4 linked regions of the Drosophila melanogaster genome follow. The protein of the gene in region 1 purifies or fractionates together with the protein of each later gene. This does not show direct contact. Each region holds a gene or a part of one and is shown on either strand. Other genes may lie near its edges. The genes, in order: Rab39, prd1, unc-104 and ema.

Region 1 (4,094 bases):
TTGTGGCACTTGAGGAACGACTGGCTGTCGGCACCCTGCTTCATCTGCTCCCGGAGCACCTGGCGCGGCAGCGTGGCCGCCGAAACATAGCGAAGCAGTCGCTTGGACACCACTTGGCCACATGCTGCTCCCGCATGCCCGTCGAAAATGCCACAAATGAAGCCGTTGCGGTGCAGGAAGCTGGCCTCCGTGCGGGAATCCTCGCAGGGCCAGTTTGATCCCAGCTGATTTGTTTCATAGCTGCGGATGACTCCATCCACGGGAAAGTTGTAAACGAACTCGTTCTCCCTCAGAACAAGGTTAACCTGTGAAAATAGTTTACATTAATACAGATTCTTACTCTTTATGTGGGAATTACAAAGGTTCCCATGGTAATAGTTATTAATCAGTTAATTCTTATTCGGTTCCTAAAAATTTTGTTCTTAAGCCGCTTGGTATGGACTCTTGTCCAGTGCAAACGATCAAATGAAATTAACTGCTCAGTAAAGGCATTATAAATGGTTGCTGTAGTTGAAATATGAATATGGAAAATCGAATACAGTCGGGTCGACGTCGTTCACTTTGTTTATAGGAAAACACTCGGGACTTTCTTGAAAGCCCTTGAAAGTAGTTATTGGATCTTCAGAAAATTATGCAGGCTTTATAGTTAAATTTTTAAACGGCTTAGGGATGTAATGCATAGATTTGTGGTTTCTAAAAGTAGCTTCAATAGGAAAAATCCAAAATAATTAATAAGTAAAGAAGTACTTTCGATCGAAGATCTTACAAACTGATTACATTTTACGAACCCTGCCCAGCTTGCTAATGACACTTGCCAGGAACCCCAAATCTTACATCGTATGGACTCAATTGAGGCAGTTGCGGCAGCAGACGCAGTGCATTCAAACTGAACTCCCGCACATTGGATCGCACGTAGCTGGCGGCGTCGTTCAGCACGAACTTGAACATCTATATGGAGATTTTGTATATGCTCTCGCCCCGCTGTGGCTATAATTAACGGTAATGATATTGGTTCCGTAACCAAATCGGGGGAGGAGTAGGCAAAGAAGATGGAGGAGAACGTGGTGGATTCCGTATCCCGGAGCCTCCGGCTGATTCACCGACTCCGGTTGCCGGTTGCTGACAAAGGGATCTTATTTTCCGCTGTTGCTTTTGATTGGCCGGCGGCTTGTTTGTACATTTGTGTGCTGTGAAATACGAAGCGGACGGTGTTCACGGAAAACAAACGTAAAAAGAAAATACAGTGCGTACTAGCGATGGGTTTTTCTCTGCACGAGACAGCCTAGAACGAAAATGAACACGCACGTCTTAATTTATGTGTCAAAGCACTGTACAAGGCCAAATCTTTTTGTGTAATTATTGTAAATTTATTAGCTTAATATGAAAGATTATTTTATTTTTTTTGTCATATTTTCTCAGAACAATTTAAACTAACTACATTTGTATGCATTCATCGTGTCACGCGAAATCGCGTTCTTTGACCATCTCTATTGGGCGGCGGTGCCAGACTGGCGGTGTTGCCATTAGCCGGTTACCGTTTTCAAGCCAAGTCTAGCTAGTTTTTGTGTACCGCCGAAAAATACATCTAAGCTTGTTAAAAAATCTGAAAACTGCCAAATTGATGTGAGGACACTATTTTTATTAAATAATTTAGAAGATATAACTGTTTAATAATGGTAATGAAATAATTTCATTGTGGCTACTATCGATTACTTTTGCTGGTCTGGCAACGTTGTCATTATCACACACACGCGCACGCATATGAGAAAAAAACACAAAACAAAACAAAATTCGAAGGAATTTGAATTCTCGAATATTTATAATTTAACAACCACCAGCGACAGCCGGAAATATCTCATTGCAAAGCCAGTAATCGTGTGAAGAACAGAAAGTTTCGATTTGCAATACAACTGCAGGAAATAAGAAGAAAAACGAGCAGCATAAGCAAATCAACGATTTGCGTATCAAACTTTACAAAGGGAAGGCAGATTTTTTGCTGCGGATTCAATTCCAAGAGACAAATCCCTCGAATTCGGCTTCGGAATGGTGGAACCCATTTTCGAGTATCAATTTCGACTGATTTTAATCGGCGACAGCACCGTGGGCAAGAGCTCGCTGCTCAAATTCTTCACAGACGGCAAATTCGCCGAGGTGCGTATGTCCAACGATTTTGGCCACTGTACTTGGACGCTTGGCCCACTGTGCGATCTTCGTGAGATGCAGTTAATGCGTTCATTACATAATTAAGTGATTGCATTGGGCGAGATACAACAAAAAATAGACAAAGGGAGTGGATTTTAAAAAGATGCTGCCTTAGTCACCTTGTCAGTGTGTGTGTGTGCTGGTGTGCATGTTTGTGTGCTCGCCTGATAATGCAGGCAGCAAAAACAACACACAAGTCCAAAATAGGACCAGGGATACTCAAATAACTGCGCGGGAAATTTAAAAACATAGAGATATCATGAATTGTGTGGAATCAAAAGTGTTCTCAAAAGCATTACAGCTCTAAACTGCGTTTCTTTTTACTGCCTCCCAAGAATCCACCTAATCATAAATAACACAATATTTACATTTTGCAGTTATCCGATCCCACAGTTGGCGTCGACTTCTTTGCCCGCCTCATCGAAATGAAGGACGGCACACAGATCAAGCTCCAGCTGTGGGACACTGCTGGCCAAGAGCGCTTCCGTTCGATCACCAAGTCCTACTACCGGAACTCGGTTGGCGTGCTGCTGGTCTACGACATATCGAATCACGCCAGCTTCGAGCACATACCGCTGTGGATGATGGAGGCACAGCGTCACATTGAGCCCCACCGCCCCGTTTTCGCATTGGTCGGCTGCAAACTGGACCTCATCAATGCGGGCGGACACCGGGAGGTGACCACAGAGGAGGCACAAAAATTTGCCAAACAGCACGGTCTGCATTTCGTTGAGACATCGGCCCGGTCTGGTGCCAATGTGGAGGAGGCATTTCGCATGGTCACCCAGGAGGTGTACGCCCGCATTCGATCCGGCGAATATAAGGCGGAGGATGGATGGGACGGCATCAAGTCTGGCTTTTCGCGACCCAATAGTCTGGACTTTAATCTCGTCGTAGCAGAGCCGGAAAAGTCATCATGTTGTTGATTCACCCCGACCTCATTGTCTATTATTTTCAATACTGTTTATGTACATTGATTTGTATCGTATGACCCACCAGTACTCCTTTTCCCCCCTAAACACCAATTTGTTGACTCTTTAATCTTGTTTAATCGTCTAGTTTAGCTAAAAAACCAAAACAGTTACGTATATTTACACAATGCGTTTTTTTTCTAATTACATATAGTTAATCGCTTTTAAGTTAATATTTAGTTCGGTGACTCACGGTAATTAGTGAAGATTGAGTTTGAACCCCTCTTTCCAAATTATGTTTACTTCGCCCCTATAATTGATAGCCAGTCACACGAGGTATACGTAGCCGAGATTCTGCGCTCCTAACTCATACAACACATAACTCCACATACACAAATACGAAAGGAAAAGCTATACATATACTTAAAACTTGAAATATAAACGTTTTTATTAATACGGACGGCATGCATTTGGTTAATCAAGGGTTAGCTTGGGCTTTGTTTTTGTCTAATCTAATCGATTTAGAGTTTTTATGCACATTTCTCCGCTTTGTTAAATCAAAGGAGTCTTGAAGCAATTGTCAAAAAAGCAACCTGTGTGATACACAAACGTTCGTAGCTGCACGGTTTCCAAAATTTACAATTTTACAATAAAAGAATTCGCGGCATATTTGGCGGCTGTTTACATATATGTGCTTTATTTCGTTTATTAAATTTTTCGCAAAGTTTAGTCCACTTGATAGATAACCCAAAACTTAGCTGCGACGATTTCTATTGTTGTTTTACACCTTCGTAGTTGTGCTCAATCAATCTAGATTTTGTTGGAAATTTCCATAAATATTGGTGGCCTCATCGGTCTGGCAACAACAGGTAATTCCTTTAATTCTTTAATCATTACTTGTTTCTTAGTAGTGCAAATTAAATAATGTAATGTAAAGAAGTTGGAAAAATCTTTTTCAAATTTGTTCGCGCATGTGACAGT
Region 2 (7,817 bases), on another chromosome or scaffold:
GAGTTACACGGGCGGGTATCGCTTCTGGTTTTATCCAAAACGATATCCAAGACATGACCACAATCAGAGCCGAGGGGATGTAGGTGTGGAACAAATGGTAACCCAGGCGTCGGCGCAGGTTGAACACAATGGCCAGGCAGGTGAAGTTACCTAGAGATAAAATAAATATAAATTATATTGAAAAAAATGGCTTTTAATAGTTTAGTCTTACCTGTTGAGTACTCTATAGTACAGTCGGTTGTGTAGTTATTTGATATGTCTAGCTGCGGCAACTCAATCTCCGTGTTAACCACAAGTGGGTCGGTCATGTTCCAAATGAAAACCAAATCTTCCACCGTATGGGATACTGCCAATCAAAACTCGGTTCAACACAGATTATTTGTAATTCGAGAAGCGGAATGGAAAGTTCCAAGCGATACGGGATTTGCAGGGTGTAGATAACCATTACATTTCCACCTACAACTCTCGATCATCATGGAGCAGATTTGCGTGTCATGCGGATAGGACTCAAACTTCATGGCGCACGACAGGACCAACGTGAGTTTGGACATATAGAGCAGCGTTTTGTCGTGGTACAGCCAGAGATAGTGATTGGGAATGCTCATCTCATGGAAGGTGACCTTTTTGGCGTTCTTAAAGAAGCAATCGGGCCGCCAAATGCTGTGCAACCAGTCGACATCCAATATGCGATACTGCTCACTCATGTTCTCAGGCAACCGCAGGCGAGGATCACGCCAGCTTTGTGCAAGGAAGATGTCCGTCACATAGGTCTAAAGGAGCATGATAAGCCAATTAGTGTTTGCTGAGTGATGAGTATTGAAAAGATGAACACATTCTACTGACCATAGACTCCTCGTTAATGGAGTCCAGGGAGAGGACCGTGACATGGAAGTAGACTACTGTGGGCTGGCCGAGGAGCTTGGGAGCCCGGTTCTTGTCGTACGTCTTTGAGGGAATGGGCAAAATGTCCGGGAGCGAAAGACTCGACTCGTAGTGGGAGACCAGCTCGGCGCTCTCCGTGTTATTTCTGCATATGTGGAACAGAACAGCCCTGTGGCGTAAATCTGATGAAACTGGGCAAACGCACTCGGACTCACCTGTAACCATGAACACAATGGCAGTGCTGGATCGATTGCTCCAGCGCGTGCAAATATATTGCCAACGCAATCAGGCACCTGAATTCTACCAATTTGCTAGTTGGGCTTTGCATTATGAACACACTACCTTCGGCTTTGATATTGTTCCTCTGGCACTCATTGCTCCGCAGTCCATGTCAATTCCCAAAGTAGCTCATCTCTGGGTGCGCTTGAGAATGAACTTGCTCGGAGGATTAGTAAGCGAGGAATTATATTTTACTCGTCGCGCAGCAAAAACCAATAAAGAAACGGCAGAGTTATCGCGACGATTGTGATGTGCTGCAAAGTGTGATAAATTGATTTCTAAGGTTTCATTCGCTTTCATTGGCATTCGCCCACACTACACTACTTTTCAAATTGACAACTGACCCCGGTTAGCGAAATGGCAAAGAGGAAATGATGTTCGCACCCACTGACAAGGGCATTAATTTAAATGTCCACTCTGTATTTGCGAATAATATCTGTGAAATATGAAAAACCGTTTGACTGCGCGAAACAAGCGAACTGGGCGCCAACTGTCGATGTCAAAAATGGGTTTATCGGCATGTTCCGGCATTTGCTTTCGAAGTACGTTTTCACAAACTGTTCTGGGTTTGCTCTTAACTTTAAATCCCAATTTTCTTGAAATGCAAATACGTGCTCTACAATATTTTAAATAAAAGCCGAATACAAACTTGTCTTAAAATTGAATTAACTCTTCAGGAACATTTTACATAATGTGTTAAATAATTGTTGAATTTTAAAATTTACAAAAATATTATTTGAAAACCGGAACTTCCCGTTGCTGTAACAGGCCGCGTTGCCAACCTCTTCTCTTATCTGGCAGCTCTGGCGCGCAATCAGCTGTTCGCGGAACTGGCAACTCTATGAGGTCAAAATATTGATTGTTTCACTTGCCAAGACGTTTTTTTTTGGCAATTCTAAAATGTACAAGTGGCGATAAATCTGCACATAAAACTCTTAAAGCAAGCGTAAAAGGAAACGTAAACCACCCAGATCGACAGTAACATGGAATCCTGCGATACAATCGCAGGTGAGTGACAGAAGCAGCGGTGTGTGAATTTAATCCCGGTGCGATTTTCAAGGGGGTGCTGGGTCAGGGGTCATTTTCCTTTGTGCACTGGCGCGATTTGCTGCGGCGCATTGTGCAACTTGTGGATATTGATTAATAGCAAGAACGCCGAGATACACAAATAATGGTTTACCGACTTTTACAATTTTCCGTAGGTTAATAGACGAAAATCACTGCGTAGATAACTCTTGACAAGTGCGAAAATCGAAACGACCATGGAATCACCTCTGTTGCCCAAGGCCAACAACAATTTGGGCATGGACAAGATGAGCTCCAGCTTGAACAGCAGCACCATGGAGGACACCACGCCCAGCGATTCGGGAGTACAACTCCTGGACTCGGAAAACAGCGATGTGATGGTGGAGTCCATTTGCTCCTACGAGGAAAACGTTAGACCGATGCCCCTCCCTTTGGTGGATCCCAACTCCAATGTGACTGCAGCGCCGGATGAGTCTATGACCATTAGCGAGTGCTCTACGTTCGACACCACGGAGAAGATTGTATACCGTCGCAAAGTGCACAAAGCTTCGTCCGCCTCCAAAACTCCCAAAAAGCGAGTGTCCTTCCACGAGGACATACTGAAGAACACTCGTACCGACAACATTCACATTGAGCATGGCTTTATCACCTACAAGAACGGACGCAAGTTGGCCTTCGCTAACTCAGCGGGCGTGGCCGGCGCTCCAGGACGATATTCCTGGTGTCCGGATCGGGAACGTCCGGAGGGACCTAATGAACTCAGTGCCGCTGGCAGGGAAGACGATGGCGAGGAGGCTACCGGTGGCGGAGGTGCCAGGCGAAAGAGACATCTGGTCTACCGAAATGCCTGCTCGGATGTGCTGGACTACGACAACATTTTTGACACGGACGAGGCGCCCGGTCTGCACTATGACACCTCAGGTGTCTTTGAGTACGGCCCTGCGACCCAAAAACAGGAAGAGCAACCCCAACTTTACAAGTGCGTGTGCAGCAGTTCCAACTCCAGTTTGGATTCCGACGAACAAGACAAAAATTCCAATGCGAATTGTAAGCAGTACGAGCAGGCTAAGAGCAGCTCATGTGATTGCATTGGTATGAGCAATGCTAACAACAATCTAATCGGTAAGCTATATAACATTCTGCTTAAATCCTTGTGATGTATATCCACATTAATCTTTATCCCACAATTAGGTGACAATTGCTACTATTCAGAGCCCAATATCGGAGATGCTGACAGTCCCAAAGTCAAGTCCGTATGGAATAAGGAGAAGAAGCCGAAATCAAGCTGCTTAAAGAAAACTAAGCTACATACAAATGTCATACTCGAGCAGGATCTCAATGGGCGGGTAAAAAAGTTTAACGTGCACGACATTAAGCACCAACTGCTCGACAACAGTAGCAAGATGATATTTGGATCGCTAAAGAGCATCTTTACCATGCCATTGCCGGAGCGCGGAGTTCCCGAGGGCTCCGAAGACCTGCAGGCGGTGGTGGAATGCGTCCCTGAGCTGGAACAGACACCAGAGCACAAATCGCGGCCGGCGGCCGAGTCACCGCCTCTTAGAGCTAAGCCATTCCTCAGCAAGAGTCTCGACGGCAGCAAGCAGGCACAACCAGTTAAGAAATTCGTGCACAACGTTGATGAGCAATTGCGGCATAAGAACGAAGACGATGGTGCCAGCTCCACGGAAGCCTCGCCGATGGAGTCAAAACAGTCACTGATGTTGCATCGCCAAGAGGAATTCGATAAGGAAACAGTGCCAATGGGCAGCGCACAGGGCGAGTTCCGCAGCAAGTTTATAATTAATTGTGAGAGCACTGTTTTCGAACACACCGGAGTATCCTACGAGACGGGGGATCTGCAATCCGAACTCTCATCCGGTATTCAGCACACCAGTGTAGCCAGTCTGCTCGAGCAAAACACTCCCATCGCAGAGCCGGCCGCTAGTCAAATTAAGAAATCATTTTTGGATGCTCCCATTGCCAAGACGTTTAGTAATTTCTTTCGAAGCTTCAAAGACAGCACACCAGTTGCAAAGGACGAGCAAGCAGTCACAGATAACTATTTTGGTGAGCAAATAATATTCATTTGAATTAATATTTTCCCCGATGACTAACACTGTTCATTATGCTTATATAGCTTCAAAAATCGCTAAGCCGCAGCAACAAGCACCAGCCGCGGGCAAACTTCAGCGCAACTTTTCCTCATCAACCATATCCGAACCTAGTTCGAACACCAACACCAGCAGCAACCATCAAATCGCAATGAATCCGCAGCTGGGCAACGCGGAGCGTCAGTCTCGACACCTTCCTTCACCGCTCAAGAAGCGTGGACAACCCTTACAGCCGCCCCGTTACTACGACCAACAGCATCCTCACCAAAGTCGGAGCCTCCACAGCCCCAGTGCCTACCTAGCCGCTGGACGCGGAGGACCAGGAGGTAGTGGTCGCGACTCAAAGAGCACTATTCTCAGCGAAGAGTTTGACGACATACTAACTATAACCACTACAGATACAACTAATGCGCGCTCAATGGACAGCGATTTGGTCATCGTAGACTACACAGATGTGGACTATGCTCACTTACTGAAGCCGCCAGCTCCGGCGGCCAAAACTTCACTTATAAATAGGTTCCTTCGTAATGTCACACAGAAGAAAATAATGGAAACCTCCATACGCAAGAACAATTTCTTTGCCGATAAATTGAGAACCGAACAGAGGCATGCCGGATCCGATCTGTATGTGAAGGGTGCTCGGCCAAAGAACTACGAGCTTATAGATGACTTAAATGCAGAGATTGCCATGGAGATTGAGATGTGTGGCACGAATTCGCCGCGACGGGAACTTGCCATTAGTTTGGATAACGATTTCCAAGGCAACTTGTCCAATTTCGAACTTGGCATTGGGGAGATCTCAATTGATGTATTCAAAGGAAAGTCCTTGTTCAATCTGAAACAATCAAATGAGCAGCTAATGAAGGTAGATTGTAATTGTGTAGCAAATAGCAATCAATTATAAAAACTTATCATTTCAGGCTTTCAAACTGTATACAGGCTACAATGTAGATGGCATCATGACACCTGTACTTGTCCTACTCACTGATAAAACTCTGTATGTGGTGAATATGGAAGGAAATAGTCTGTGTGTCAAGTTTGTTTTGGCCTACAAGGACTTGGATGTCATACTGGTAAATGTTAACGGATGACATTGCTGTGATATATTAGTTAATGCAACATCATTTTTTAGATGGGACCTTTTGGCAACACAGTTTTGCTCAGCAACAGTAATCGAGACATGCAGCAGGTCCTGCTCGCGGGTGGTCCGTATCCAGCCGGATCCCTGGTAGCCAACCTGGAGTTGTGTGCCCGACGCAGTGGATCCACTCTGCCTGCAGTTGGTCAGCTGACTCTAGAACATTTGGCTCCACTGCAGGCTTTTGTGCGTGCCAACAGCTGTGTTGGCGTAGCAGAACATTGGATGCTCTATGCAGTGGTTAATGTGCCAGCTGGAGGGTCAATGAGAGTCGAATCGCCAAGCGAACTGCTGGGACCTTCAATGAAGGGATTCCTCATGCATCGAAGACTTAGGCAGACGATCAGCACTTCAGCAGCGAACAGAATATTTTGGCAACCAGGATACTTTTTACTGAAGTTCGTAACTCTCGATATTTGAAGGAATTCAATTTAATATGTGTTCATTTCTTAGAGCTGGCGTATTGTATATGTTCAACGATTCCACCCAAAGGCTTCCCAGCTGGGCCATGGCCCTCGCCGAGTGTCAGGGCGCCCGGCGAACTGTGAAATCAGAGCGCCCCCACTGCTTCGAGATTACGCTAAAGGGCGAAGTCCTGCAAATGGCTGCGCCCGACGAGTATGTAGCCTCCGAGTGGCTCCAGGCTCTTTTGCAATCAGCCAGTGGCGTAAGTAGACAATTAATATTAGAAGATTTGTTTTAACTTTTTGTTGTGTTTAGCTTGTGGTTCAAGAGGAGAAGCACAAAACCCTTGGATGCACGTTGATCGTCACGGATAACCATTTAATAACCCTGCGTGAAGACTTTTCGGCTCCTCTACGAAAAATAAGCCAGCAGGCGGATAACAATGCAGCCGTTCAGGGAAATAAAGAAACCATGCTTGAGGAGGATATGCTCAGTGTTTTTGAAACCAGTAGCTTAGTAAGTGCGCTTATTGTATTAGCAAATCAAACTTCGTAATCATTTGGACTTAAAATTTTAGATGGGTTCCACCATTAGTACTCCTACCCGTGGCACTCAACATTCATATTCCTCGTTAAGCTCTACGCCTACTAAGCAAACAAACGAAGATGCAGCTCCGAAAGAAACTGTAGCTTCGCCGGAAAAATCACAAAGAATGACCAGTGTTTACGGAAAGAACTCCGGTTTAGCCATACTAACTTGTGCGGACATCAAAGAGATGACTGGCATTAAGATAACCTCGCGGAGCGAGACTTGGTGGTGCATTCTGGAGTTCTCCTGCCAGGAGGCACCATTGGAAAACCAGGACGATTTGGTTATATTCTTTGCCAGCAGCATGGAAATGCAACGTTTCCTGCGGTTGCTAGAGCAGCTTTGGCAGTCTAAGAATGTATGTTTCTCGTTGACTACTAAACCTTTCCTTAGCAATAACGAAATATTCTAATTTTACAGAACGATCTATTTCCAATAACCATACTAGACGACGGTGACTCTCTGGCCGAGCAATATAATAAACTTTATATGGACACAAATAGGGCCTGGGAGCCTTTGCTATCAGCTGCGCTGGGTTAACGTGGCTCTGGCCATATATACTCCATTTACAAATAGAAAATTATATTTCCATATACATTACTCAAGCGTTAAATATTCTATCCTGAATACTCAAATAGCTAAAGAACAAAAAGTATTGATATTTATATAGTCTGTATGTATTATGTATTATGATTTTGTAATGCGTGCCTCCGCTTGACTCATTCATTCGTTTGCGCTTAGTAACATCTCATTTGAATAATTTTTGTGATATTAAACTTAAAGTCGCTGATCTTTGGTATGCTCTTTTGTAGGATATTTAGTTTCTATTGATTTTCTACATTCGTTATTTCTTACCTTTTATAAATACATTGTGTACAAATATTGCACAGATAATAAGAAACAAAATATTATACATAATCTAACTTATACGAATATTGGACATGTAATCAATCGGTAATGTTATGTTTTGGGGGTGCTCTTTTGGTCCAAGGATCATATCCATATGATATACGACAAACAATATGTGGCTATTTATAAAATAAACAAAACAAACATTTATAAATGTGTATTAGGAAAAGTGTGCATGGTGGACTTAATCTTATTTTGCAATGCTGTGCCTCTCCTTTTCAATTAGCATAGATTAAATTCCCCTCCCAACGCCCGACATTTCGCTGTAAGCCTTTCAGCCCACTAAAAGCTCATGATAATTAATAAAACCAATAAACGCCATTACAAAACGAATTTTTATTTATTCTGAGCTCGCTGATGGTCCTTGACATTTTCAATAATTGCAAGTGGTGAAAGGGTTTACAGAGGAAAGGGTTTTCTGGGCTCTAAGTCGGGTTTATGCTGTGTGGGACCCTATATTCCGAATGAGTGTGGGG
Region 3 (4,716 bases), on another chromosome or scaffold:
GTACACATCTGCCACGTTGATAATGATGTAGCTAATGTAAACCAAGAGTACAACTAAATTTTAAGTCAGTGCCATTACATTTTTGCGAAAAAGAGAAAATCGACTTGGGCTATTATGCTTACTGAAAAATTTAAATTCATAGCCCAATGCGAAATGGTTTGTCGTGTATGCAAAGTAATCCATCAATAAAGTCGCTAAGAGAAGAAATAAAATGTCCCGGACAGTTTCGTAGGAATTCATCTTGAAGGGCGAAATGTAGAATATTAGGCCACCGGAAATCGTAATCACAAACAGGGCTGACGACAAGTTATTGGCAAACACAGGGACATGTCGTTCAACGCTGGCCAAGTTGGCGAAAAAATCGGCAGAAGTGTTTCCAAATGCCATCAGGGTAACTCCCGCCAAATGCTCGTTCATATGAAGGAATCGGGATACGGCCTTCAGAGCAGGACTATAGCTGCAAAAGCAAGCATTTCAAGCTCAATTTTAATCTTCGCTTTAGTTAGCTACTTACTAAACATTGATTGTGTAAATTAGTAGAACCAATATCTGAAAGCAAAACGCCACGAACAAGGCGATGAAGATCATTTCCTGGAACTGATTGATACACTTCAGATCGCAGGCCAAGAGTCTCATGTATGGAATTACATTTGTGCTCGAATTGCAGTCCTCCGCTTTCTGTACGAACTCACATCGCTCCTCGAACGGAAAGTTGTTGGCCGCAAAACAGCTAACCGTTTTCCAAAAATTGTCGAATTCCGCATCCAACGCGTTTTTCACGGTAAAAACATCGGATTTGGTTGTTTTTGTGTCGATGGCCGGCATTTTAGTTTTACTTGTTTGTAGTCCGAAATCTTGGCGTTGAATTGGGTAAAAGTGAAACTAGTTCTGGGATTACTTTGATTTCCTAAGAGCTATCAGAAAAAACTAATTCAACAATTAATTCCGGCTACAATCGCTGTTTTCGATGATAATACTTGTATTTTTTTTTTTGCACTTTAAACCACTTGTTAAGCTTGTAAACTTCATAATTAAAAAAAAGTTAAATGTAATGATGAAAGATTCCCCACAGATGAGGACGTCCAGCTTCCAGCACATTCTTTTACCAAGCCCCATTCTTTAACATTTCCCTACCAAAGCCAAAACCTCCAACTTTTTACTGCCCTCCCAGCCTCGCCGTCAGATTTCAATGTCAATGTAATTACGCCGTAGAATATATACATAGTATACAAATACCTACTACCGATTACCGACTACCGCGTAACATAAAAAGCCAAAGCTTGTCCTGCGTCTCGGTGCGATGGGAAATCAATAAAAAGAATTCACTTTACGTCATCAGCTGGTGGATAAAGCCGTCGCTATAGCCACTGTGCCGGCAGCGATATGTGAAATGGCTCATAATAAGATCAAACATCGGGGAAAATTGGGGGTCTGCCACAGTGGCCGTCCGAAAAAGTGGACACCTTGCGCTAATAATGAAATTCCTTGTGCCCGCGGATGACAGACGGTCGTTTTGTTATTGCGGACCTTTTACGCTATGTGTATGAAATTTATAAAAAAAAAAATTTTCGCATACCCATATATACCATACAGCCCACACGGTTGCTGTTCTTCCAGTTTTGTACCCCGATTGCGGCGCATGCGTCCTGCTGGTGGGCTGGTCGTCGTATCCTCTGAACTTTCCCAGAACTGCTCACTGTGTCGTCTACCCTTAACGGGTGCAGTTCGTTCTGGTCTCGAGAGTCGTGCGCGAATTTCATTTCCTAAGGCCTTCCGCTGACTGGCCATCGATTTTGTGCAGAAAAGCTCAGAGTTTTCATCAGCGAAAAGTTGCCCAACCGTTTAAACAAAGCGCAGCCAAGTAAAGCAACTAACAAGTTTCAAATTAAAACAATTCGATACAGTGGCAAACTAAAACTTTATCAATTATTTGTCCCCCAAAAAAAGGAGTGAAAATTTTTCGCTGTTATACAGAAAGACAGACCCCTACACATATATACACATATACGAGAGCCTACATATATATATAATATATATTCAAAAATCCTTTAGCCAAGTCAAGAAGAAGAAACTACGCGAATGTGCGCTTTTGGTTACCTATTGTTTTTCGCCCTATTGTTAACAACAATTCTGGTGCTGTCCATTATATTCGCCACTACCTCCAAGCGATCCATGTTGGATAGCTTTGTACTAGTATTCAATTACACACAAGAACACCAGCCAGACCAAGAAATGCAGCAACAACAACAACCAACGGACTATCAGCAACAACCACAAATGTTCCTAAAACAGAAAATATTTTGAGTTCCATGGGTTAATGAGTATAATGCCCCGAAAAATAATAAAACGAAACAGAAAATCAATTGGTAAATGCTTCAAAATATATTTGCAAAATTTCATCAATTCGCTCGACCGAACATTTCAAAATTCTCGATAAAACATAGCCCATAATTACGTTTTACATAATTTTGATTCGCTAATTTTTGCCCCCCCCCATCATCTAGTGTACAGTGGCCTCCAGAGTAGTGTGCATAGTGTGTGTAGAGTGTAGAGATTTCCTGGCTCGGTGTCCATGGCAAAGGCAACTTGAAAATTTATTAATAAAGGTCAAGAAGAACGCAAGCGAACGCAAGGATATTACCCACGAATGAGACGGGGCGCGCATATGAGTGTGGTGAGAGGTCCTGCATACGGTATTAAGTGCCCGCCGTGTTGCCCCGCAGGAAGCCATAAAAAATATGACGCAGAAGGCAACAAAAGCGTGGTATTGCAAAGGACCTCGAGTGCTTAGTTCGTTTCTCAAGTGCAAATGAGGGTTGACTGTGTGACGAATAAATTTTCAAGAGCCTGGCCAGGTAAAACGAGCTAAGGACGTTGAGAAGTGGACATTCTCGAAAAGGATATAGCCTGATTTTAATTTCTTATAGTCGTTCTTTTATCGTTTCGTGCGCCTTCAACCAGCGTCAGTCTGCATATCATACAAAAAATAAATAAAATACATTACACAAATATTTAGCATATCCTATCCCACTTTCGCTCCCACACTCTCTATATATACTCTCGCCTTTCTCTGTCTTCTCTCCACATTTCTCCTGTCTCGCGCTTCTGCGCAAATCTTCCTGTGGAGACTTTTTACTGCAGGCTGTTGCACATTTGCTTTGACAGTTTGTTCGGAAAATTGAAAGAACAAAAAAAAAACATAAACAAAAGTATTTTGGTCAGGTAAACAAAGAGAGAGAGAGAAAGGACAGGAAAGAGAGAGCAATTCTCACAGCTGCGCATTGGAATGGCTTCTAAACTTGGTTTCACAATATTTCAGGACGCTAGTGTACGCGAGTGAAAGAATTTCTCAGTTGGTCAAGTGAATTTACCACTAGAAAGTTAATAAATAAAGCAAAGAGTGACAAACGAAAAAAAAAACAAATTTTACCTTATCAAACATTAACTAAAAATCAAATCACACATAAGTGCAATCGATTCCTTACAACTTATGCTATAATGAGCTTTAAGGATATAGCCGCCCAATAAGCCAGCAATCGTTTGGCCTAAACTAAAGGTAATTTAATCTCCATAAATGGTAGTTATTTGTTTTAACAAAGTTAAGAAATATATTGAAAATACGCGTTATGCATCGCCTTTAAAGGGTCCTTTCTTTCTTTTGTGGGGTGTGAGTACTTTTCTTTATTCTGCCTCTTGTATTTGCTCGATGACTCATTCGACTATTGGCCGACACTCGTCTGCGCTTTTATTGGAAGCATTTGTGGATTGTGGAATTTTTCCCCCTGCTTCAAGTGTGTGAGTGTGTGTGCGTGTGTGTGAGTCAGAGGGTAAAAACTAGAGGGAAAACTATTTGCATTAAAATCCATTACGATAAGTGATAAAACTACTGAAAAACAAACCTAAAATCTAACAAAATTATAAAGAATTTTTAACTTTCTTTAACTGTATCACTTCTTATTAAAAAAAAAGAGGAGAAAGAGAACTCACCTAGAATGTTTCGAAAGCAATAAATCTTCAATCCTTAACGTCTATTGTTTTATAAGAAATTTGTATTATAAAATAGTTGGCAATGTACCCGGCTTAGTCTTCGACGTATTGCACATATAGGACAGCAAATAATAAATTCTTAGCCCCACCCCTGGCTTCAATTCAAATTTCCCTGGCGAGTTGCCGGGGGTATGACTCATAGCTTCGAGCTGCCACAGAAACAAATCGTGGACGAGTGTATAACCATAAAGTTGGGGCAATTATAAAATGTCAGTGCTGGGCAGTGGTAGTCTCTGGCCAATTTGCAGCCCACTCGAATGACTCGAATGTCTATAAAGTATTCCCGTTCCTCTATTTCCACTCCAGTTAACCGGAAACCAGGACACCCACAGAGAGGAAGAAGGACAAGATGTCGTCGGTTAAGGTGGCGGTGCGAGTGCGCCCCTTCAACTCGCGCGAAATAGCCAGGGAGTCGAAATGCATCATCGAGATGGCAGGAGCCACAACGGGTGAGAATCCCATAAACACTCTAGATTTCTCTTAATTAAATACTTCAATCTTATGTCCTGACAGCCATCACCAATCCAAAGGTGCCGCCCAACACAAGCGATTCAGTAAAGCGCTTCAACTTTGATTACTCCTACTGGTCACATGATGTAAGTTTTATTTCGAGTCCAAGAAAAAATTTTACTTAAATTTATATTCGCATCACAGCACCACGATGCCGAT
Region 4 (7,192 bases), on another chromosome or scaffold:
AGCACCTTGCTCTCCTTTATCTCCACTGAACTTGGCTGGAAATCAGGGCGGGCGAATGGGAACTTTAAAATATCGCAGCATTTAAGTTGGCCGCATGTTTCGGTGGGTCTCTACAAAGATAGGCTTGAAAAGGCTATTCTCACGGTAGCTCCTAACTCACCTGCTCTTCGTCCGTGAAACACAACTCCAGATTACCGACCAGCGGCTTGGCGGGGATGTATTCACTCAATTTATAAGCTCCTAAGTCCATTTTTCCCGTATTTACCAATTCGCATGGGCAGCAGTCAAATCGTTAACAAGCGGTAGTGTTGGAAAGAGTTTATTTACAGCTTCCCTTATCAAGGGAAGCTGTAAAAGATTAAATGTTTATTTTAAATTGGTCTTCATCTTTGCCAAATACAACATTAAGGATTATCCTTAAATTATTTGTTTTAAAAATTATCTGTACCTAACATTTCTTAGCTTGGGAAGGTACCTAATCAGAAACCTACCTTTGTCAACACTGTACGACATCGGTGTTATCGATATGCACAGTTATCGTTAGCATGAGGAGCTTTATTTGTTGCTGAACAACAAACCGAAATCTCCAGTAAATTCGGTAAGGATCAATTTTAAAAAGAATGGCAGGCAACGCCAACAGTGACGACGAATTCCATGATGCGATCGGGGAGGAGATAACCGAAAAAGAGGCCACCAGCACGCGGCAGAGCGAAAAGGACGTGGATGAGATCGTGGAGAAGCAAAACCAGCTGGCGTTGGATGACGAAGCGGAACAGGGCGCGGCTGGTGGAGATTCCATCGCGACACCAACGACAGTGGACTCTGAGCTAACCATTGAGGAGTTGCGCGAACGGGAGAAGGATCTCAGCCCAGAGCAGCTGACAGCTAACAAAGAAAAGGCCGATAAGCTGAAAGTTGAGGGCAACGAGTTGTTCAAAAATGACGACGCCGAAGGCGCCGCCAAGACCTACACAGAAGCCTTAGACATTTGCCCCTCGGCCAGCTCCAAGGAGCGAGCAGTTCTCTACGGAAACAGGGCTGCTGCCAAGATTAAGCTGGAGGCCAACAAAGCGGCCATCGACGACTGCACAAAGGCTATAGAACTGTGGCCGGAGTATGTGAGGGTGCTTTTAAGGTCTTTATTTTAATATCTCCCTTAAAATTTCTAAAGTCTAATTACATCTTACAGGCGCGCCAAGCTCTATGAGCAAGAAGACAAGCCCGACGAGGCTCTGGAGGACTACAAAAAAGTTACTGAGATCGATCCCGGTCAGCAGGAGGCTCGCGAGGCTCAGATTCGGCTGCCGCCAATTATAAACGAGCGCAACGAGAAGCTCAAAAACGAGATGATGTCCAGCTTAAAGGACCTGGGCAACATGATACTCAAACCGTTCGGACTGTCTACACAGAATTTCCAAATGCAACAGGATCCCAACACGGGCTCGTATTCCATCAACTTTAAATAAAAACCTAGCTAGCTAATGCTCTGCAGATCAACAAATAAAGCCGTATTCGTGGATGATGTGTAAAATAATAGTCAAACTGTAGCAAAACGTATCAAATTCAGTTCTCGTACATTTTCACCTCTGTAGAATATGCAAATGTGAACCCATTTTCATAACAAACGGTACCAAAAAAATCCATTAATTATATTTAATGTAAAATGCATGGTGTGATATGCTATTAATATATGAGGTTTGTTCCAAATTTTACTGTCTGGTTTTACAAAATTCAAACGGTTCTTTTGAGAGGTTTTTAAAAGTCGTGAACCAGTCGCAGTTCTCATGCAATCACAACAAAATAGCCACTTGTCATCTCTGTTACTTCGATACCGATAACCATAAATATGGGCGGAAGCAACAGCTGACTGTGACACTTGTGTTCCCCGTGAAGAAGAAGAGCAATTTGTTGGAAAAAATCGCCATTCGCAAATTACAATATTAGATTCGTGCAATCGCAGGCATTAGGTGCCCCCTTATTGTGGGCCAACCCAGTGGCGTGACCGTGAGCAGTAGTGCATGCAAAGATCCAAGAGAACAGCGCTCCCGCACTCCTCCTTACCCTGATATGAGAGCAGTCAGGCGGATCGTGGCCAGTTGATTCCATCCTAGTTGCCAACATGTTCCGGAGTCGCAGCTGGTTTGGCGGACCCTGGGGTGGGCGGCCCAAAAACCGCTTGTCGCTGGAGCACCTTAAGTACCTGTACAGCATTCTGGAGAAGAACACCACCGTGTCGGAAAGTAATCGTGGCCTGCTGGTGGAGTCGCTGCGCTGCATCGCAGAGATCCTGATTTGGGGCGACCAGCATGACTCGCTGGTGTTTGAGTGAGTATTAAGCATCTCAATGTAATAAACCTTAATCTAATTATTTGCAACAGCTTCTTCTTGGAGAAGAATATGCTATCGTATTTCCTGCACATAATGCGACAAAAGAGTGGAGGCTCGAGTTTCGTCTGCGTGCAGCTCCTTCAGACTCTCAACATCCTCTTTGAGAACATACGCAACGAGACGTCCCTGTGTAAGTACAATTTTCAACAGTTTCTATAATACAGTAGACGTAATCATTCCTATGACGTTGCAGATTATCTGTTGAGCAACAACCATGTAAATTCTATCATGGTGCACAAGTTTGACTTCTCCGACGAGGATGTGATGGGCTATTATATACTTTTTTTAAAGACGCTAAGTCTAAAGTTAAACACTCACACAATACACTTCTTTTACAATGAGGTTTGCATTGCCTAAAACACATATTTACATCCATTTAATGTGACATATTCCTTACAGCACACAAATGACTTTCCCTTGTATACAGAGGCTATTAAGTTCTTTAATCATCCCGAGTCAATGGTGAGAATTGCAGTGCGCACCATTTCCTTAAATGTCTACAAGGTTCAAAATCCAAGCATGTTGCGTTTTATTCGAGACAAGTACGACCTTTGCCTTCAGTCCCATGAGCTCCATTAAACTATTTTTTTCTCCCTAGAACGGCTGCTCCATATTTCAGTAATCTGGTCTGGTTTATCGGCAAACACATTCTTGAACTAGACACTTGTGTTCGCACAGATATAGAGTAAGAGTTATTGTAATATAGTCCCTCGTTTTATAGTATTGATTTCTTAATTCATCCGCAGCCATCAATCGAATCAAAAGCTGTCCAATTTGGTTGCCGAGCATCTGGATCATTTGCATTATTTGAGTGACATTCTTCTACTGGAAATCAAGGATCTGAACGCGGTGTTAACCGAGCACTTGCTGCATAAGCTATTCGTGCCTCTGTACATATTCTCACTTACACCAGCTCCGCCCCCGCCCTCACTGGCAGTGGTTACCCAGAATCTAGCTGCTGTGCTTAATCGCAATGTGGACATCGACATACAGGAGATGCACAATCCGCGAGTGAGCTCCATCGTGGCCCTTTTCCTGCTCTCATTGGTCTTCCTGGTGGTTTCGCATGCCCCTCTGGTGCACGCTCTGGCCTGGGTTATCCTCAATGGTGACCACAGCGTTTTTAAGGAGGGTGCAGCCGAGATTCTTAATTCATACGTTGAGCACCGCGAGGTGGTTGTGCCTGGCTTCGGCGAGCCCGACGAGAGTCTCGAACAGGCCTTGGATACAGTCACCGGTCAGTCCAGCTCGTCCAGCTATGCCCTTAGCGAGGACAGTGGCGTGGAGTCCTCATCCCCAGCCACCACAGAACTGGACTCTCAAGCAGATGCGGTTGAAGCGGAGCAGATTAAACTGCGCAACATAACTGACGAGGAAAAGCAGCTGCTGCAGAAGTCATCTTCCTCAACGAAGGCTGACTTTGCTGAGATGGCCAAACCGTTTTTAGACACGGTCCTGCATGCTTTGGACTGCACCGAAAACGATTACCTTGCCCTGCTGTCGCTGTGCCTCATATATGCTATGTCGCACAATAGAGGTAATATTCATGGATATTTCCCTTAACTCAATTTGACGTTTTTTTTGGCTAATGTTGTGTAACTTTCCATTGCTCTGATCACCCCATTTTTGCTTCATTCTAATTGCTTTCTTTGTGTGTAATGAAAATGTCACATTCTGGTACATGTCCCAATCCGTTCAGATGGTATGTAACTCGTCCACTGCCCGTACTAATCAATCGTATGCATCTATCATAGTCTCCTTAATAAATATCTTTATGTACCTTTCCATATAGGCATCAAGAATGAGTGGTTCGAGCAGGTTCTTGCAAAATCAACCCGTGGCGCCTTCAGTTATAAGACAGCCTTGATTGAGCATCTGTTAAACATCATCACCCAGTCCAGTCAGCCATGTATGTACAACTGTTCGAACTCCGGTTATCATTAGCTCTTTAATAATTCCATTTGAATTCCCTAAAGCGTCCCGCATTCGGTTGATTACCGTGGAGATTGCCTTGGAGTTACTGGTCACTTTCACCCGTCCCAGCTCGGATGATTCGCGCTGCATAACCGCCGCACAACAGGATCTGCTCTTCAGCGCCCGCAATCAGTCGATGGTGGTGATCCGTAACTTCTACAAGTCGGAGGACATCTTCCTAGACCTGTTCGAAGACGAATACAACGAGATGCGAAAGGCGCAACTGAACGTGGAATTCCTGTGCATGGACTCCACCATTCTACTGCCTCCCACGGGAACGCCACTTACTGGAATCAACTTTACGCGACGACTTCCCTGCGGGGAGGTGGAAAAGGCACGCCGAGCCATTCGCGTTTACTTCCTGCTGCGTCGCACGTGCCAAAAGTTTTTGAATGAGAAGGAATCGCTATTGCCGCTTACAAATGTAGTCAATCTGGTTCAGGTGGAGAACGTACTCGATCTGAGTAAGTATACTCCTCCTACGATGATGTATGTATATATTAAGGCTAACCATTATCCATCTAGACAATAGTGATCTAATAGCCTGCACCGTTGTGGCCAAGGACAGCAGCAAGCAAAGACGCTTTCTGGTCATTGACGCATTGCAGCTAATTCTCGTCGAGCCGGATGCAAAGCTGCTTGGCTGGGGCGTGGCAAAGTTCGTTGGCTTTCTGCAGGACGTAGAGGTGCAGGGTGATAAGGATGACTCGCGCTGCTTGCACATCACCGTGCACCGGGGCGGAGTCACTCACAACCGCACTCCGTTGCTCTCGGCTAAGTTCCTGTTCGACGATCACATCCGTTGCATGGCTGCCAAGCAGAGGTTGACAAAGGGTCGTAGCAAGGCGCGACAAAAGAAGATGTACCAGATTGCGCAACTCATCGAGATTCCTGGACAGATGGACTCTCCCGTCTACGCTGTTGGTGGCACAATGGTCGCATCCAGTAGCGGCGGAAGTGGTAACAGCAGTGGCAGCAGTTCGCGCAGTAGTCACCACCGTCCCATGTTCTCCACGGCCAATCGAGTGCCGGGATTTGCAGCGGTGCTGCGTGGAAGCAATAGCGCTGGGGTTAGTCGAACCCAGATGGCCCCGAATCGATCCATCGAAGGGTAAGTTCACGTCGGTGTGTCCTCATGTTCCTCATTTCCATCCTCATCTGTGCGTCTTCCCGCAGAATTAGAAATGAAAGCGCTGGCCGCTCCCGACGCCGCAGTCCCAGCTCAACTTCGGGCTCGAATCTTAGGGCCGATCACTCGGATCGGGAGCGATCGCCCAGTGTTAGCATGGGCAGCCACAGCTCCTCGCAGTCTCGGGAAAACTCCCAGCCCAGAAGTACTGGAAATCGGTCGCGGGAGAGCAGCCCTAGAATGCCCAGGCCGCGGTAACAATGAAACATTTTCGTTAGCTCTGTAGTCTTAGAATGGTTTCTGTTATAATTGAGATTTGTAAAGTATTGCAGTATTCTAAACTAGTCTTTCTATTTTTTTTAATTGGATTACGCCCAAGACATCAAAAAGTTTATTTTATAATTTATCGAGCTGTTTACATGATTCTCGAAATTTGCTACATTTTTGGCTCCTTGGCCAAAAAAAAATCTTTAAGATTGACTAAGTTTGCTTGTAATACCACCTTGTATAATTATGTATAAAGATATCGTTTGTCCTATATTTTTATATTTATTTGCATATTATTTTGACAAATAAACAAAGAATAGCATGCCTTTAAGCCCTCCAGTTTTATCTGTCCTCGTTATTCTATGTGTTTGTTAATTATAAAATTTACTAATTTTCACCTAATCGAGTTATAAATAAATGTGTAATATTTTTTCATTCTAGGTCGGAGGAGATTCCTCTCGAGGACTTCCAGCACTCACGGAACAACAGTCCGCACTCTCGGGGAAACCCCTCGCCTGCCTCCCGCTCACACACACCCATCCGCGTGCTCCACTACGATCAGCTGTCCGGTCATAGCGGCTCACCACGTGAAGCGTCCCTGGGGGGAACTAACGCCCTGCTAAGCCAGTTAAATGGGCTGAACCGTGAAGTGCTCCCAACGCAGAGCTCCGAGGAGACTTCTTTTATTGGGAGCGACGGAAACGAGGCCACTGGCGGATCGGAGGGCAGGCGACGGGGGGCCATAGAGACGGTTTAAGATAGACTAGAAGTTTTAGTATTACATTGGAAGCAGCCTTATGCTTAGATTGTTGCTAAAATTTTGTTATTCCAGTTGACTAATAAGGTGGTACATACTCTAATTCCTTTTCATTTTAAATAAAAACTAATTTGACGAATTTGAGCTCAAGTCTATATATATATTAGTAAAGAAGTATGTTTTTTGAACCTTCGATAATGGAAGCCACAAATTATTGTTCTAAAATGTGGGTTTCTTATATTTCGCATATGTTCATTTTTATAACAAGGTTTTACTTTTAATTTTACTGAATTGTCTATAGACGCCAGTGCTGTTTTGTAGTCAGTTTTCAAGTAAATGTTCTATAATAATCTTTAAAATAACGGTCAATACAGGTTTAAAATTTGAGGAATGTCCCTATTGTCGGCCTTTTGTGTGAATGCCAACTGCACTTGGAAATCAGCTGTCGCTTGTTTTTGTTTCGTGACATAACCGCAATTTACTAAAACTTAGAAACTTAACTTAAATTATTTCATGAAAAGCATAGCAAACTAATATTAACTATGTCCCACAAGTACACGGAGCTGATTAAGGTCGGCACGCAGTATGCTCGCCGGATGAACTACCTCTCAAATCGCATTTTCGGCGAAGTGGCTCGCACCACAAACGAGAAGTCCATGAAGGTATGTTCTCGAAAT

The links.
Region 2: the proteins of Rab39 (region 1) and prd1 purify together in Drosophila melanogaster (affinity purification with western blotting; one study listed by BioGRID). This does not show direct contact.
Region 3: the proteins of Rab39 (region 1) and unc-104 purify together in Drosophila melanogaster (affinity purification with western blotting; one study listed by BioGRID). This does not show direct contact.
Region 4: the proteins of Rab39 (region 1) and ema purify together in Drosophila melanogaster (affinity purification with western blotting; one study listed by BioGRID). This does not show direct contact.

The regions. Positions count from the first base shown.
Region 1 is NC_004354.4:7,733,185-7,737,278, forward strand, and holds Rab39 (Rab39), read left to right. Parts: upstream 1-1,738; 5' UTR 1,739-2,043; coding exon 2,044-2,151; intron 2,152-2,579; coding exon 2,580-3,128; 3' UTR 3,129-3,572; downstream 3,573-4,094. Other genes in the region: Pdp (pyruvate dehydrogenase phosphatase), read right to left, coding at 1-305, 835-948.
Region 2 is NT_033777.3:11,780,975-11,788,791, reverse strand, and holds prd1 (pruning defect 1), read left to right. Parts: upstream 1-1,777; 5' UTR 1,778-2,169; intron 2,170-2,363; 5' UTR 2,364-2,423; coding exon 2,424-3,309; intron 3,310-3,378; coding exon 3,379-4,257; intron 4,258-4,327; coding exon 4,328-5,166; intron 5,167-5,221; coding exon 5,222-5,374; intron 5,375-5,433; coding exon 5,434-5,837; intron 5,838-5,892; coding exon 5,893-6,106; intron 6,107-6,159; coding exon 6,160-6,360; intron 6,361-6,421; coding exon 6,422-6,790; intron 6,791-6,852; coding exon 6,853-6,972; 3' UTR 6,973-7,661; downstream 7,662-7,817. Other genes in the region: HisCl1 (Histamine-gated chloride channel subunit 1), read right to left, coding at 1-150, 212-346, 461-770, 844-1,027, 1,098-1,210.
Region 3 is NT_033778.4:16,762,978-16,767,693, reverse strand, and holds the start of unc-104 (uncoordinated-104), read left to right. Parts: upstream 1-1,693; 5' UTR 1,694-1,861; exon of another isoform or gene 1,862-2,079; coding exon of another isoform or gene 2,080-2,304; exon of another isoform or gene 2,305-2,333; intron 2,334-3,319; 5' UTR 3,320-3,556; intron 3,557-4,353; 5' UTR 4,354-4,396; coding exon 4,397-4,496; intron 4,497-4,560; coding exon 4,561-4,643; intron 4,644-4,701; coding exon 4,702-4,716. Other genes in the region: CG5348 (uncharacterized protein), read right to left, coding at 1-53, 123-457, 515-825; CG42392 (uncharacterized protein), read left to right, coding at 2,080-2,304. UniProt on the Drosophila melanogaster protein: Required for presynaptic maturation, has a role in axonal transport of dense-core vesicles carrying synaptic vesicle precursors, components required for the morphological transformation of axonal growth cones to mature boutons.
Region 4 is NT_033777.3:16,436,346-16,443,537, reverse strand, and holds ema (endosomal maturation defective), read left to right. Parts: upstream 1-1,876; 5' UTR 1,877-2,119; coding exon 2,120-2,325; intron 2,326-2,378; coding exon 2,379-2,518; intron 2,519-2,581; coding exon 2,582-2,730; intron 2,731-2,787; coding exon 2,788-2,930; intron 2,931-2,986; coding exon 2,987-3,073; intron 3,074-3,134; coding exon 3,135-3,925; intron 3,926-4,180; coding exon 4,181-4,297; intron 4,298-4,364; coding exon 4,365-4,826; intron 4,827-4,887; coding exon 4,888-5,473; intron 5,474-5,538; coding exon 5,539-5,745; intron 5,746-6,199; coding exon 6,200-6,515; 3' UTR 6,516-6,658; downstream 6,659-7,192. Other genes in the region: CG14882 (uncharacterized protein), read right to left, coding at 1-110, 161-250; Ttc1 (tetratricopeptide repeat domain 1), read left to right, coding at 621-1,135, 1,190-1,466; mRpS33 (mitochondrial ribosomal protein S33), read left to right, coding at 7,058-7,177. UniProt on the Drosophila melanogaster protein: Required for mitophagy, autophagy and endosome maturation, possibly by acting in multiple membrane trafficking pathways. Required for endosome trafficking and maturation.